3 linked regions of the Arabidopsis thaliana genome follow. The protein of the gene in region 2 interacts with the protein of the main gene of each other region in a pairwise test. Each region holds a gene or a part of one and is shown on either strand. Other genes may lie near its edges.

Region 1 (3,934 bases), on a different chromosome or scaffold from region 2:
TTTACCATCGAATGATGGTGCATCTAACACATGCACATCTCAGATGGAATCCGAAAGGATTTCTATTCCGCAGTATGATCCTAATCAATGTCACCCACATAGATCCATCCTTGAAACTGATGTAAACCAAATAGATTTAGATTTTACTTCTATACTAGATTCTTTCGATCCTCTAGTAGATGAGTGCCTTATGAAGGAAAACAATAGATTTCTTCCAAACCCTACCATGAACCTTTTGGATACCGATATAGACAAGATGGATTGGGTTTCATTTATAGAAAACCTTAGTCACCATGATATCAATATGAACCATATGGATTGGGATCCTTCAACAGCAAATTACGTTCTTCCTGAAACCAACATGAACATAAATTTTCCTGAAAAACATACAAACGAGATAGGTTGGGTTTCTTCACAAGTAGGTTATGTTCCTTTTGAAAATATGATTCCCTCTGAAGTAGATATAAACCATATGGGCATGGGTTATTCTGGAGGAAGTATTCCCCCTCAAGAAGAAACTAATACAAATAATGTGGGCTTTGTTTCTTGTGAAATACATAGTGAAATCCCTCCCAAAACTAATATGGCCATTCTAGAAACCAATTATTCAAATCCGTTAGATTGGGTTTTCCCTGAAGATATAACTTCACTCGAAACCAATACCATCCAAAAGAGTTTGGTTTCTTGTGAAACAAGTTACGATGCTTTGGATAATATGGTTCCTTTGGAAACCAATATGGAAGAGATGAACGATGCTCTTTACGATATTTCGATTGAAGATCTGATTTCTTTTGACATTGATGCCAATGAGAAGGATATATTCTCTTGGTTAGAAGACAATGGTTTTTCTGAGGAAAATAATATGATGGAGTCATGCGAATATCATAATATAGAATCTGTGAATCAAAGTGATGATATGAAGATAGACGATAACTTTGATGATTATCGTGAATGCATGGATTGGATTAACGAAGAGATGAATAAAGATGTATGAATAATGGTGAAAAAGGAGAACAACAAGATTAAAAGTAGTTTATAAATTTAATATGTTTTTGTATAATGCATATTCATATCATAAATATAGATGTATGTTAATCATAAACAATATGTATGAGATTCTAAAAGTTTTTCAGGTTCTTAATCGTACCATAAGTTTTCTTTTTTTGTTAATTTGTTTCTCAGTCTTTAATTAAAATGTAGTCAAACACTTTTAATTTGACCAAAGTTAGTATTTCTATTAAAATCAGTTCTAATAAAACTTATGACCAAGTAGTAGATGCTCTAGTATTGATCCTAAATCTAATTTTTTATTTTTTTTAAATAATAGTTTACTACTTTACTTCCAAAATTATAGTCAATTGTCATTATAACTATTATCATTGAAATATATTTTTGTCAACAAATATTATTTACTATAGATAACCACGAACAAGGCATCATATCTGTCAAAGAAGCATTGGCATGACTTCATGTGCTCTCTAAAATTAAAAGATATGTTTTGTCTCAATTGACATCATATTATTTTTTGTTACGTCGTAGTAATTTAATGACAAATTACTGAGTCTTTGATTTTTAGCAAGGTCGTCTTCCAACTATGTTTCTAAATCTAATCATGATTTCGGGGTTTGAAGGCAAAGGATGGAGCGTGCAAAGTCGATTTCTTGTTGTTCTGATGCTTGAGCTGGTGGTTGTGCTACCACTTAAAGCTACAATATGTATAAATATACCCATTTAATTACTTACTCTTAATCAAATATCTCTCAAAATTTCTCCACTAAACATTTGTAAACCACATCCAAAAAATAAAAAAAGAGTAACCAGATATAATGATTAGATGGAGACACTTTGACAATTAAGTCATAAATATTAGTGTTCAAAATTCTAAAAAAAGAGAAAAAGAGAAAACAAATATCAGTGTTATAAGGACACTTTAACGTTTCTTCACTTGCCCAAAGCTCTCTGAAGATAAAAGACAAAAGAGTAAAGAGAGAAAGAAGCACGAAAACCAAATCAATGGCGGTTTCAGTTTCAATCCTCACCGTCGTCACTGCTCTTCACCTCCTTGCTTTCGTCTTCGCCTTCGGTGCCGAGCGTCGCCGTAGCACCGTACCCAATTTATCTCTCTCTTACTAAAATTTGTCATTTTTCCGATTTGTGTTGTGAATTCGTGTTTTCTTGTTTATTCAGGCTGTGCCGGTTCCGGATCAGTACGATGAGAAGACTATTTGTAAGTACGGAACTGAGGCGTCGACAGTGTACGGTATGTCGGCGTTTGGGTTGCTTCTTGTTAGCCAAGCGGTGGTTAACGGTGTTACTAAGTGTCTCTGTTTTGGAAAGGGTCTTGTTACTGGTACTTCTTACACTGTCTGGGCTATTGTCTTCTTCGTTGTTTCTTGGTAAAGTTTATTCCTTTACTCTCTAATTGAATCTTTTGTACATCAAGATTTGAAATTGAGTTGATTTAAGTGGTATTTGGTAACCAAAATTTGAAATTTCTGATTAGGGGCTTTTAAGTTAGATTTGGAATGAACTAATTTGTGATTTGATTGTGTATATTTATGGGTTTTAACTTTGAAGTGAAAAGGAAAGTTTTTTCCAACTCTTTTCAGTATTGTGAACATGAAAAGTAAACACTTTTAGATTAGTGGGTATTGAAATTTGGTTATGTGATTTATGATTAATAAGTCACTTTGTTGCAAACTTGACTTCTTATTTACGTCCTTAACTCTTACTTGTGAGTTGTGGATGTCTCTATCTAAAGACAATGATAGTGGTAGGCTTCGTCATGGTCACAATTGAATATTCTATATGTTTGGTTTTACAGTTTGTTATCTTACCAAACTATGTGGATTCTATAAGAAAAGAAACGACCTTACAAGAATAAGAACTAGTTAGTTCATCTCTATGTTTGAGTACGTTTGTCTTAGTCATTGGTTTTGTGTATCTTTAGGGTAAGCTTTTTAGGAGCTGAGGCGTGCTTGTTGGGTGGATCAGCGAGGAACGCGTACCACACTAAAAGTGAAGGCATTTACAAAGGGAAAGAGCTTTCGTGTGCCGTCTTACCCGTTGGAGTCTTTGCTGCTGGAGCTGCTTTCACTCTCATGTCTTTGATTGCAACCATTCTTTACTACTTGGCTCATTCTAAGGCTGATACTGGCGGATGGGAGAAGCATCAGAACGATGGCATTAACATTGGTATGACCACTCCTTCAGATGCTCCAAAGCAACAAAACACCGAGTTTAACAAGGTCTAAACCAGTTTCTGTTTGGTCTTATGTTGGCTATGCTTTTAAAAACAGGGTAAAACTATAAAAAAAATAGTTGTTTGTTAATTGTCAATATAAACTTGTGTCGTCAGATATAATGTTGGCTTATGTATGTCTATGAGAAATTTGGTTTGGCTCAGTCATCATCTTAGCTTCCCACTTGACCTCATCTAGATTGTTATCATCTGCTAAAAGTTTAGACATGAAAACAATATGGGCACATAATGGACTGGGCCTACGAAGAGGCCCAATGATTGCATTCCTAACATATCTAGCCTCAACTTGGAATATACTTGCATGGGAAAGGGTTTAGCTATGATCAAAATGTTGATAACTTTTTGGAATACATTTTTGATCATTAACTCAAGTTAAGAAAGATTCTCTACAAGATATAAAACTAATTTATTCATGTAGCAATAAAATGATGAGTTTTTGCAATATGCTAAAGCCATACCTTTCCTGTTTTTTCTCAAATCGCTTTCTTCTTTATGAATCCAAGAACAAAACCGTTCTTATCCTAAAAGTTCGGAACTATATAATAAACCATGAATCTTAGACCTTAGCTCACAAAAAAGGCCACAGTTGTTTCAAAACCTGAAACCAAAACAAAATGGCGGTTTTTGGATATGAAATGGATGAACATAGAGCTTCTTCATCGAGACGACGAA
Region 2 (6,144 bases):
GAATAAATAAGACTTAAATGTGTAGACAGAAAATGGCACAGATACAACGTGACGGCCATTATTGGCTTGGCCAAGTATTTACTATTTATATCCTTTTTCGTTGTATGGTTTATAATGAGAATAATGAAAAGAAAAAGTATCAAGAATTTTTCTTCTTTACTTTTTTTTTTTTCTTTTTTTTGAATAAAATGTAAAATTTATTCGAAAAAACGTGTTTACATCAAGTGTAACGGAAATTTAATCGCTCCTTTCTCTAACTTTATGGAACAAATATAACATCTCGTCTAGTAGTTTATAAGAATATTTAGAAGTTCTTACAATCGTTTTCGTTATTTTTTATTAAACACGAATGAAAATAGTGCTTATATTAAAATGTCATAGATGCGTTAAGTAGGCGATTATTTTACTTTTGTTTACATCAAAATTTTGCCACTAACTAAAGCAAAGTTAGAGCAAGATAATACACATTTATAACTATGTCAGATATCGAATCATCAACTCCAAAATTTCTCCTTTGACAAAAAAAAACTCCAAATTTTCTCTGTGCCTCAAGTCCTCAACGCAAATGAGCTGGACTGATTTTATGATGTGAAAACTTTGTTTTATGTATAGTAATTTCAGTTTACTTAGGCCCATATATTAGGCCCATAGATCACCCTGCCCATTTTGTTGGAAGTCCAGTTCTTATTTTCCTTCACATTCTCAACAACAACAAAAATGCATCATACTGAAAGAGAGAAACTTTAATTGCATTCCAGTCTAACAAAATATCATTAAACTAAAGAAAAACTCAGTAACAAAAATAACTAAGATCTATCCAATCAAAGACATGCATATATATATAAATCAATAAAAAATAACGCAGTAACTATTATAATCTTGGCATACAAAAATACATAACCTACCTCTAACATTTTAAACAAGAACACAAAAAACTTAAAATTGAGTTGTAGAAGTTTAAAAGGTTGATCCATATCCTTTTTTACCAGCTCACATGTTACTTTGAGCATTTGCATCGGTTTACCGATGAATCTAATCGGTTCCTTGGATACCAAACTTTCATCAACCTGCATCATTCAGGAACAACTTCTTGTTTCTTGTTGCTCCATTTGTCCAACCTTTTGGAAGCTTCTTCCACCTGAAACAAATTAAAATAACTATCAAATCAATGAAAATATTTACGTAAACACTTAGCGCCTACAGGGCAGCTTAAAGTTTAGCAAACTTACTTCTTTTGTCCAATCTGTTCTAAACGTGACCCACGCCAAAATAAACGTTTGTATAACCGTACCACCGATCATCCCCGTCCATATACCCTATAGCATCATTAGCCTTAAATTTGTTATTCTAATATTCAATACAAGAATAATGGTAACTAATTAAAATGAAAGTTAAGAAAACTATCTTGCCTTGGCACCGAAGTTAAAGTAAAACCCAAAGAGAGCCCCAAGAGGAATTCCAATAATGTAGTAACATCCAACGTTAACCTTCGCCACAAACGTTTGCCAACCGCATCCAACCGCCACACCTATAATAAAATTTTCCCAATTGTTCAAAAAAAAAAAAAAAATCTTCGCTTATTCGGTTTGCGAAATTGCGGTGTATCGATCAGAAGGGTTTACCAGAGAGGACAGGTTGGATTCCGTTAAGGACAAGTGTTACGGCAAGAAGCGGACAGAGATCAGAAACAGCGTCCGAGACTTCTTTACCCTCAGTGAAAGCATAGCTTAAAACATCGCGGCACGCTAAAATAACAATGGCTAGGATCACACAAGTGATTAACGAATAAATGTTAACGATGATCACAGAAAAAGCTGCTGATTTAGGGTTCCCAGCTCCAAGTTCATTGCTCACTCTTACACTGTATCAACATCATAACACAATTTTTGTCACACTTCATCAGATTTAATAGGAGAAAAAGAGCTTATGGTTCAGTATGATTTAGCATTATTTAAGTGTGTAAAATGTAAGAATCCACATATTTTTATGGGGGTAGGTAAATTGGATAGAGACGTTTTCTATTTTATATGATTTAAATTTAGTGAAAACGATCATGCAAGTGGTGAGTTGGGACAAAACAGACCTTATCGCTGCATTGAATCCAACAGATATCATGAACACCCACCCTGAAATCGTCATGCTGTAACACAAAAACAAATAATTTAATATCGTACACTATCAAAAGCTAGTATGAAACCATTGTTGCTTGTAATGTTTTTACAACATTTTAAAATTGTAACTTTTGACTTGACATGAAAATCAAAGATATCATATTATAAAGATGGGAATTCCATACTGATTTGGGGCAACTACCTAAATTTGGTGGCTGCTTCTGTTTGGTAACAGAGGAAAGAGAACTTTTGGAAAACCTAAAAAATCTAGTACTTACGACTCAGATAAATCTTAAACTAATTAGTACTAGAAGAATATTGTATAATATCTTCGACAAAATAAAGAAGTAGATGCAGATTGGACGAAGAAATAATGTTTTATTCGATTCCATATGAGATAGTTTCATATGGTCATACAGAAATTGTTAAAGTTAAATTCTACTGCTTAAGAAGAAGACAAAAACAAATTCCAAAGAAAACCAAAACGAGAAGACTGAAAAGAAGAAATGTGATGTGACCATAGATTGTCTGTAGCGGAAGAAGTGTCAAATTTGTTCGCCATTAACTTAACTTTCATATCTAGTATCTACAACCAAACTTTGCTTTGTACTCCCTACAAAAAGTTTTGTTCTATGCTTTTCATATCGAATAATAATAATACTAAAAGTTTTGTCGAATCATTACTAGAAAAATTCATGGAAAAGTCTATAATCATACATATTCACGTGGAGTTTCAGGATATATAAAAAAGTGTTTTCTTGTAGAAACCAATAACTACTACCTATGATAAAACATAAATAAAATATCATGTGGAAGACAAATTAGACTAGAATAGGTAAAATGGAAACCAAAGAGGCAAAAACACTAGAATAGATAAACTTAAATTATTATTTTTTATGGTCAATAGGTGAAATTAATTTAGTAAACGAAATTAACTAGTAAAAATAAATTTTAAAGGAAATAATTAAATTGAGTTTGACTAAAAATAGGACTTACCAAATAGAGAGTGAATCAAGAGCAAGTTCAGGATTCTCGAGAAGTCCGGCAAGAAGAACGAGAATCTGAAAATACCAAGTCTCAAGGCAAAGCATCACGGCAGAAGCGGCGGAGAGTTTAAAGAAACTCCACAAACCCGAGAAAGCTTGAACACTAAAACCTCTCCACGTCTCACGACACCTCTCACTCGTCACAATATAAACAAACTGAGCCACGACTATAATCCACCACGACAAGCTAAGCACAAGCGACGCACCAAGAAGTCCCATACCAAGCTTGTAAACCGCGAGCCAACTTAAAAGAAGGTGAACAAAGAGCGTAGCCGTTGAGATATAAGCACTTGGAGCTACTATGCTTTGTGATTGGAGAAATTTTTGTATTGGAAAGTTCGCTGCGTAGGCAAAGATTTGAGGGATAAGACCGTAGACGAAGAGCGATGCGGCCGAAGCGATTGCGGGAGATTCACCGAGGAAGAGAAGGATTGGTTCGGAGAAAACGTAGATTAAAGTAAGGAGGAGGCCGGTGAGTGTTAGTAATACGGTTGATCTTTGGAGATAAACTCCAAGCATCTCGTATTTTCTACCACCGTACGCTTGACCACATAACGTCTCCACTGCACTCCCCATGCCTAGCTATCATCGAAAAAAACTCGAATTTTAAAGATGTGAAAAAAAACATAGCATATAGACGAAAATGATATAAAACGTAACATTCATACAAAAAATATATACAAGAAGAGGAGTTTTTGGTTGTTACCATGAGACCGTAAGCGAAGACTTGAATACCGGTGTTACCAAGAGAAGCGGCGGCGAGTTCGAGGTTACCGAGATGGCCGGAGAAGATTTGAGTAGACATGGACATGAGGTAGTTAATCATGTAGACGATGACGGCTGGTGCAGCGAGGTTAAAGAGAAGCTTTGATTCGATTATGGTGGCTTTACGTAGGCGGAGAAACAGAGGAGTTTCTACGTCGGAGAGGACAGTTTCTAGCTCGCCGTTGGTTGACTCCGGCGGAGATGGAGATGGTTGAGGATGGAGAAGCGGTTGGTGTACGCCGTCGTTTGGAGACGAGTCCATGATGATGATGGAGATTTGCTCTCTCTCTCTCTCTTTTTTTTTTTTTTGGTTTGTTGTTTTGTTTGTGGTGTTATCGCTTGAGGATGTGTGTGGCTAGTGTTGTGTATAAGTGTATATAGGTCCTATCGAGGGTGGCGAGTGACGGCTAATGATAGTTACAAATTTGTATGTTAATCATTGTATTATTTCTACCGAGAGAGTCCACGTCTCTCATTAAAAACACCAAAGGTTATTAATTATTAGAATTCTTTCTTTCGTTTTTAGTCAAAGATTGTATAACATTTCTATGGATATCGTAATTAACTTTACAAGATATCTATATGTAAAATGCAAATAGTTTTCTTTACAATATTTTGAGTTATTTCGATGACATATATTGGTTAATTAGTATTCATAATTTTAAAGAATAAATAACGTACAATCACATTTTAAAAATGTGATTAATTTCAAATTCAATGTTATTTAATTTATATGATGTCAAAAAAGAATTGTTATCTAATTTATATACCACACATTTGCTCATGGATATAGGTTTCAATACTATACACAAATCTGTTTATTTATTATATACTAATTTGCTTAAATTTTTTGAACAGAAAAAGACAAATAATAATGTAAAACTGTTTTGATACTTCAGACAAAATGAAAATATCTTTGAAACATGAAAAATTTGTTCCATGAAAAAGGAAACTGTTTATTCTTATCCTTATAAGGAAAATAATCTTTCAAGAAAGCAAATGATTAATCAAATTGGGGAAAAAAAAATGATATTGAGTGGGATCTTCAAATACAACAAAACACCGTATGCCAAAAACTCATTTTGTACATGGCCAAAACAAAATTATGGTTTACCGGGCCAGTTACACCCACACCCCCTTCTTAAATTGTTGGTCCGCCCACACAAGGTATAGTAGTCGTAAAAGCAAGCGTACTAGTATAAAAATGATATTTATGGATACGATTCCAAATAAAATTGTTCACCAATGGTTATATGGTCTACTGCGAGTACACGTTTCTCTCTTTCATTCATTCTTTCTCAGTCATTAATTCCAACCCAATGATATAGCTACTACGTTTAATATTCATATTAAATGAAAATTAAAGTAACATCAATGATTATAAATGCTTGCCAGTTGCCCCCATGGTTTAATTCCTAAGAATGGGCTATCGTATGCAATAAAAAGAAAGGTAAACAACTAAACACCAATGGTTATATCGGTTGTTTTGAAAAATCTTCACGAGCACGATTTTAGGAAGATAAAAAAATTTGAGTGTTCGAATAATTGCCACTTTCACATTCAATGTTTTTCTGCGTATTAGCATGCAGGCATATACTTCATGGGTCATCATGGCAGCTTAGCTCCTTTTGCCGTTAATAGATATCAACTCTATTGGAGATATGTGTAATCCGATTAGGATTAGTACAATATCTTTGATGATAGAGTTTCTAACCTATATTTTAGGGATTTATGTTTATCTCTTGATAGAGATCATTGTGTATAAATACCATAGTTAATGAATCAATAAAAGCAAGTCAGTTCAATACCTTATTCTACACCCAACTATGACATCTTCTCTAGTCAATAGAATAGTAGAGATCAAAACCAAGCTTGCAAAAGTTTAATTCGCTTAAAAATTAGATATAATCTTTAGAAATCGAATGTATCAGATTCGAGTCATATAGCAAAGACAATAGCAGTGTAAATGATAGACCCAAACTTGGTACTACAGCTTTTAATGAAGTTATTTGGCTCAAATAAACCCAACCAAAAAAGTAGCTACGTTTTATCAGTAATAGCTGCAACTTGTATCTATATTCTGTGCAATATAAATGAGAAAAACGCGAGGTTACTTTTTCCTTTCAAAAGTTTAGCTATTTGCAAAACGTACGAAAAAGCCTTAAACGGAAAAGACAAATTAGAACGAGTTTATAAAGTTTAAAAAGCCATTCAGTCAGGAG
Region 3 (7,168 bases), on a different chromosome or scaffold from region 2:
TATATGATATGTCAACTGAATTCATGTTTTGCAAGGATATCATTACCAGTACCGAATGATGTGACATATCTGATGAGGTTTGAGGTATTGAACTCTCATGATTGTCAAGTGATGGTCTTGAAGCTTATAAACGATCCTCAAAAAAGTGTTTTGATATTTCCATAATTCTTTAGAGTAGCTTGACCTTATTATATAATTCAAAACTTTGGCCTTAGATAATGAGATTCAGGCAGGGAGGTGACGTGTTACTCACGCGCGAGAGCTGCGCGTTCAAATCATAAAAAGCCGACTTGCTATAAAAGCAAACTTGTTGATGATGGTTCAAAATTTCGAAAAGCTTTTCAAATTTCTCTTCATATCGCGCGCTCAGTCAAAAAGCAGAGCCAAAGATGAAGAAACCGTATAAAGGAAAGTTGCCGACGGGAACTCCGTCTCTGGCAATGTCAACACTCGTCGTCGTTGCTTCCCTTCTCGCCGGAGCCTCCGTTGTCCACAACATCTACAAACCAGATCTCGTAAGCTTCACCTTCTCTTTCTGTACATATGTTAGGGTTCTCAAATGTATTAGGTTTGCTCACTTTCTTCGTTCTTGATAATGCCCATAAGCGTGATCGGTTTAAAACCATTCATTTCGTTCTCTGGCTCTGTGATCTCTCTTTTATTGTAATGCACATAAGGTGTTCGATGAATTGCCCATGAGAGATTTGTAATCTGATTGCTTTTTACTTTTGTGCAGAGTTTACCACCGTTGGAAAGTAGTGAAGTGGCCAAGAAGGATGATTCTGTAAACAAAGTTTGAATCTTTCAATAGTTTCATCCTGTTTTATCAGGCTACATTCACTTTGGTTGTTCTCTTTCAATTCATGAGTTAACAAAAAAACATGGATAAAGTTTAAAACTGAGATCACTTATTAAAGGCTTTTATTCTTCTTCCTCTTGTGAAGATGTAAAGAAGAACAAACTCTTTTTAGGTTTCTTGTTGGTCAATTCACCGTTTTTTTTAAAGAGATATAAGAAATCGCGATGATCGTGTAGATGACATAGAGACCAACGAATTGATGGAGTCTTTGCTACGGATTGTGGAAAACCATGTCTTCGATACATATTGGAACTTCAAAAGAGATTTTAGTGATAATCTAGTTAGTATCTCCATCGTTAGATCCATAGGTCCATTAGGCCCAAACGCCCAATCACGTGGCGTGATAAATACGTTAACAATTGCAATATGAAGAAAACACGACAATTAAATATGGAAGAGAGGCTAATTATTCATCGGTCCAATTGCCAATGTCTTTGACTGTAGTTAATAATAAATCATTAAGAGATTTTCGTTTAAAAACAAAAATACACCGTTTCAAGATTAAAAGATAAGTTAATTACAATTGTATTTTTCCTGATTAAAAATCAGATGTTTACAGGGAACCGCAGATCGCTCAGAAAGTGTAGTAAGATGCTCGCAAAAACCATGTGCATGTCCATCAACCTTCGCCGTCTCAATAGCTTACACAAAAATCGTTTTTGTTTTCTTATTAATATAAAACCTAATCTAAATTTACAAATTTGTTTTCTTATTAATATAAAATCTAATCTAAATTTACAAATTTGTATTACACGTACAAGTGGATCCAAGTATCTGACTCTACAGATATTTTGAATCTAACATTTGTGTAATTATAATTTATAATCTCTGAAGCATTTAATTTTACTTACAAATAATGTTAGACCACGAGACAGAAGGTAAACCAATCTTCCTTATCCCAAGATAAGATTCTTCAAATTAAATATAACGGCTTTTTGCAGAAGTAATAAAGATAGAAGGAATATCTAGTATCAACGGAAAAAAAGAAAAAATCTAGAGCACTTCGAAAAATTATGGACCAAAGAAGATTCAGACTGAAATTATTACTGTATTAGTATTTGTCCATTCACAAAATGCCGAGGAAGAAAAAAGGCATTTTGGTTTATATTTTGTTTATTTGATATTCAAATGTCCAACGATCCTCTCTAGCTAAGCTTAGCTATAATTCAATGTTTGAACACGAATCCCATTATTTTAACACAAACAACATTAATTAAATATCGTCTCAAGGAACTTCACTTCCTTGTCCATAAATACGTTATTTCACACCACATATACTCATCTATATCTCTATTTTTCTTCTTCTTCTCTCTCTCGCCGGAAAAAGTAAATCAAAATGATCACCGGCAAAGACATGTACGATGTTTTAGCGGCTATGGTGCCGCTATACGTTGCTATGATATTAGCCTATGGTTCGGTACGGTGGTGGGGGATATTCACACCGGACCAATGTTCCGGTATAAACCGGTTCGTTGCGGTTTTCGCGGTTCCTCTTCTCTCTTTCCATTTCATCTCCTCCAATGATCCTTATGCAATGAATTACCACTTCCTCGCTGCTGATTCTCTTCAGAAAGTCGTTATCCTCGCCGCACTCTTTCTTTGGCAGGCCCGTCTCTTTCAATAATCTCTCTATGCACATAATCTATCTTCATTAAGTGATGGTAGTCTACTAGTAATTGCTATGATGGTCAATTTTTACTCGAAAACATATTGGTTATCGAAAGCTTATAGTATAGTAACTATGTCATTTAACACGGGTAAATATTTTAGTTAACATTTTAGCTCTTTTGTAATATGTGTCTCTAAACACACACATTCTCATGTTTGTGTATATATTGTGATATTATTTTTTAGGCGTTTAGCCGCAGAGGAAGCCTAGAATGGATGATAACGCTCTTTTCACTATCAACACTGCCTAACACGTTGGTAATGGGAATCCCATTGCTTAGGGCGATGTACGGAGACTTCTCCGGTAACCTAATGGTGCAGATCGTGGTGCTTCAGAGCATCATATGGTATACATTAATGCTCTTCTTGTTTGAGTTCCGTGGGGCTAAGCTTCTCATCTCCGAGCAGTTCCCGGAGACGGCTGGTTCAATTACTTCCTTCAGAGTTGACTCTGATGTTATCTCTCTTAATGGCCGTGAACCCCTCCAGGTATGAATTTTTCACTGATGACCTTTTTCATATGTTTGTTCAAATTAACGGACCGGTTAACTCAAGTAAACTAGAAAATGGGTAGTTACTAGTTACGACATGACTACATGTCATTTTGGGATTCCTTTTTGCCTATGTAAATCTATAACAAATTTTGAGTTTTGTCTGAGTTCCTTTTTCAGAAGTCAAAAATAATCTTCAAAGTGACGTGTTACATTATTCACGCAGAATTTAATAATTAGTACAATATAAGAAATATCAAGTTATTAACTATAGTCTAGTTGAATTTTCATTCTTTTTGTACCGATTCGGTTATATCCGGTTTAAATCACATCGACTCGAAATTCATCACCTAAAAATATGGATTTATCTTTCATTAGACCGATGCGGAGATAGGAGACGACGGAAAGCTACACGTGGTGGTTCGAAGATCAAGTGCCGCCTCATCAATGATCTCTTCATTCAACAAATCTCACGGCGGAGGACTTAACTCCTCCATGATAACGCCGCGAGCTTCAAATCTCACCGGCGTAGAGATTTACTCCGTTCAATCGTCACGAGAGCCGACGCCGAGAGCTTCTAGCTTTAATCAGACAGATTTCTACGCAATGTTTAACGCAAGCAAAGCTCCAAGCCCTCGTCACGGTTACACTAATAGCTACGGCGGCGCTGGAGCTGGTCCAGGTGGAGATGTTTACTCACTTCAGTCTTCTAAAGGCGTGACGCCGAGAACGTCAAATTTTGATGAGGAAGTTATGAAGACGGCGAAGAAAGCAGGAAGAGGAGGCAGAAGTATGAGTGGGGAATTATACAACAATAATAGTGGTATGAATTTTTTAATATATATATATATATATATTTATTTTTTATTTATTTTTTTAAAAAAATATATTTTGCTTCTTTATAAATTTAAATAGATATAAGAATCGATTCAGATATTATTATTATTTTCCATCAGTCACCGGTGATTATAAGTGGGATATTATTAGGTTTAAAAAGGTTTAAAAGTTAAGTAAAGAGTTCATCAAATAATTTTGCGTAATTATTTTTTTCTTTTAACAAAATAATAATAATTTAGTATATCACTTCCAAAACTCTTAGGTTTTTAAACTGATTATAGTTTTGGAAAACAAAATATTAATTTTGTATTTTGAAATTTAAATGTGATTTTTTCATTATAATGTAATGTTTTAAAATAAAATTTTCTATAATTTATGGTCAGTTCCGTCGTACCCACCGCCGAACCCAATGTTCACGGGGTCAACGAGTGGAGCAAGTGGAGTCAAGAAAAAGGAAAGTGGTGGCGGAGGAAGCGGTGGCGGAGTAGGAGTAGGAGGACAAAACAAGGAGATGAACATGTTCGTGTGGAGTTCGAGTGCTTCTCCGGTGTCGGAAGCCAACGCGAAGAATGCTATGACCAGAGGTTCTTCCACCGATGTATCCACCGACCCTAAAGTTTCTATTCCTCCTCACGACAACCTCGCTACTAAAGGTTTATTAATCTCCAACTTATTTCATATTTTTTTTTATCATTACTTGCCACGCTTCTATTTTTTTTTTAACTTTTAGGAAAAATGTATAAAGCTCAATATCGGTTCTAAGTTTTTTTTATAGTTTTTTCAAAGTTTCAAAACTTATGAAAACTTTTAAACTAATTAAAGTAGATTTTTATTTGGTTCCGTACGGCTTTCTATAAGTTAGTTTTTTGGTCGAAGAAAGGTCATAATAAATTTAGTTTAGTATTTTCTGTGATATTTAATTATAATTATATTCATACTTGGTGATGACAGCGATGCAGAATCTGATAGAGAACATGTCACCGGGAAGAAAAGGGCATGTGGAAATGGACCAAGACGGTAATAACGGGGGAAAGTCACCTTACATGGGCAAAAAAGGTAGCGACGTGGAAGACGGCGGTCCCGGTCCTAGGAAACAGCAGATGCCGCCGGCGAGTGTGATGACGAGACTAATTCTGATAATGGTTTGGAGAAAACTCATTCGAAACCCTAACACTTACTCTAGTCTCTTTGGCCTTGCTTGGTCCCTTGTCTCTTTCAAGTAAGTACTAATAATAATGTCACAATCATATAACATAACAATATATTTGGGCAATTGCTTGATGTTGTTGATCATTTTATGGGACAGGTGGAATATAAAGATGCCAACGATAATGAGTGGATCGATTTCGATATTATCTGATGCTGGTCTTGGAATGGCTATGTTTAGTCTTGGTATAGTTCCCTTCATATATATATTTAGTTATAGTCTTTGGTGCTTTTTTTTTTGCTAATTATTGATACATATAGGTCTATTTATGGCATTGCAACCAAAGATTATTGCGTGCGGAAAATCAGTAGCAGGGTTTGCGATGGCCGTAAGGTTCTTGACTGGACCAGCCGTGATCGCAGCCACCTCAATAGCAATTGGTATTCGAGGTGATCTCCTCCATATCGCCATCGTTCAGGTGATTACTCTTTAGTCTTATATATATTTCAATCTAACTTACAGTTTGATGTTTTAGCTAGTGATGTTGGGTTTCTTTGAAAAATATAATTGATAAGAATATATATAATTGTATGTTTTGAAGGCTGCTCTTCCTCAAGGAATCGTTCCTTTTGTTTTCGCCAAAGAATATAACGTCCATCCTGATATTCTCAGCACTGCGTAAGTTATTTAAGTTATAAAATATTTAATTTTCATTCTTAAACTTCATTTTAATACTATATATAAGATATTAATTTGGTATTCAAACTATACAAAGTTACAGAGATCTCCTAAGCTAAAAACTTGATATTATTTTTCAGGGTTATATTCGGAATGCTGGTTGCTTTGCCTGTAACAGTACTCTACTACGTTCTTTTGGGGCTTTAAGTTATTATCAAAACGTATTTGCAAATAAAAGGCGATACGACCCAAAGGTGATTTTTTTTCAAACGAAAAAGAATAATTACAAGAACGAAAAAAGACTAATTCCAGGTCAGGCTTAGGTGTATGGGACCATGCAATGTCGCATTAATTAAATTATAGCATATGATAGTCGAAAATTTAGATAACTTTGTATAATTAATTATATGCACATGCATGTACGTGACTTTGTAGTTTTTGTTACATTTATTAAATTTTTGGGATGTGCAAGTACAATTATTTACTATTGATTAGTTTTTTCTATTTATCGATGGTCGTGAAGCATGTTATTAAATTACACTAATATTTCATCATATACTAGTCAAGTATTACTAGATCGCGCAGTCTGTTTAGATTAGATCTTGTGCTTTTCTAAATCTCCATACAATTCTTTATTTTGTTTTGGATCAAATGCACTAATACTTCCACATATAACCTTTTTATTTCATTTCTTTTGTCTTATATATTTATGTTTTTGTTTGTATGTAAAGTTAATTATGAACGTTATTTTTTTTGTTAAAAAATTATGAACGTAATATTCGGTTGAAGCTTGAAGGTAGTCGCATTTTAATTCGATGAGTAAAGAACAATCAAACTTATAATAGAATTTAATTTTCCTTTATTTTAGTATATACTTATCTGTCACCAATAAGATATCACTCGGACTATTTTTGGAGTGATACAAAGAATTTGCGTGGAGAAAGAAACATTTCAAATGAAAGCACTAGTCTAGACAATTGATTGTGTAGTAAGATAGTTGCTGATGATAAGTTTTGCGTTATAGACAAATTGTGCATATCTAACATGTGTGAATATCTTAACGAGTGATCAAACTTTTCAACCAAACTGTCCAAAGTTTTTATGAAATAGAAATTATTTTTCTTCTTTTTCCTTGCGTTTGATTAATTATGAGCTCCTCAAAACGTATCGGTGATCGGCGCTTGAATTTAAGTATGTAAATGTAATGTACTAGAAAAGATGGCTTGGCTCTGGAGGCGTTGACTGTGTAACGTGAAAACGATCACGTGGGGTATCAAAACGATGAGATATACGTTGGAACTCGCTCTTTGGTCGGAACGTAATTGAACGAACAACAACACATGAGAAATTCAATAACAATTCTTCTCTATATAGTTGTCCTGACCTCTGACTTATCTGACAATAGATCTTTTAATAGTTTACACGTAAAAATATTTATTATTCAATGAAGTGCGTAAGAGAAATAGCATATGTATACTAAGGGTAAAA

Evidence for each region. The genes of interacting proteins can lie anywhere in the genome.
Region 1: the proteins of AT3G21690 (region 2) and AT1G68220 interact in a protein complementation assay, tested with the Arabidopsis thaliana proteins (one large-scale study listed by BioGRID).
Region 3: the proteins of AT3G21690 (region 2) and EIR1 interact in a protein complementation assay, tested with the Arabidopsis thaliana proteins (one large-scale study listed by BioGRID).

The regions. Positions count from the first base shown.
Region 1 is NC_003070.9:25,568,309-25,572,242, forward strand, and holds AT1G68220 (aerobic coproporphyrinogen-III oxidase (DUF1218)), read left to right. Parts: upstream 1-1,783; 5' UTR 1,784-2,013; coding exon 2,014-2,106; intron 2,107-2,187; coding exon 2,188-2,396; intron 2,397-2,950; coding exon 2,951-3,254; 3' UTR 3,255-3,425; downstream 3,426-3,934. Other genes in the region: APRR6 (pseudo-response regulator 6), read left to right, coding at 1-994; AT1G68230 (Reticulon family protein), read left to right, coding at 3,877-3,934.
Region 2 is NC_003074.8:7,636,790-7,642,933, reverse strand, and holds AT3G21690 (MATE efflux family protein), read right to left. Parts: upstream 4,351-6,144; 5' UTR 4,185-4,350; coding exon 3,864-4,184; intron 3,740-3,863; coding exon 3,108-3,739; intron 2,141-3,107; coding exon 2,084-2,140; intron 1,862-2,083; coding exon 1,623-1,861; intron 1,529-1,622; coding exon 1,410-1,528; intron 1,317-1,409; coding exon 1,230-1,316; intron 1,139-1,229; coding exon 1,073-1,138; 3' UTR 545-1,072; downstream 1-544.
Region 3 is NC_003076.8:23,098,570-23,105,737, forward strand, and holds EIR1 (Auxin efflux carrier family protein), read left to right. Parts: upstream 1-1,946; 5' UTR 1,947-2,195; coding exon 2,196-2,465; exon of another isoform or gene 2,466-2,616; intron 2,617-2,713; coding exon 2,714-3,016; intron 3,017-3,396; coding exon 3,397-3,841; intron 3,842-4,238; coding exon 4,239-4,508; intron 4,509-4,806; coding exon 4,807-5,074; intron 5,075-5,161; coding exon 5,162-5,247; intron 5,248-5,322; coding exon 5,323-5,480; intron 5,481-5,603; coding exon 5,604-5,680; intron 5,681-5,820; coding exon 5,821-5,887; 3' UTR 5,888-6,659; downstream 6,660-7,168. Other genes in the region: AT5G57080 (uncharacterized protein), read left to right, coding at 390-515, 737-799. UniProt on the Arabidopsis thaliana protein: Acts as a component of the auxin efflux carrier. Seems to be involved in the root-specific auxin transport, and mediates the root gravitropism. Its particular localization suggests a role in the translocation of auxin towards the elongation zone.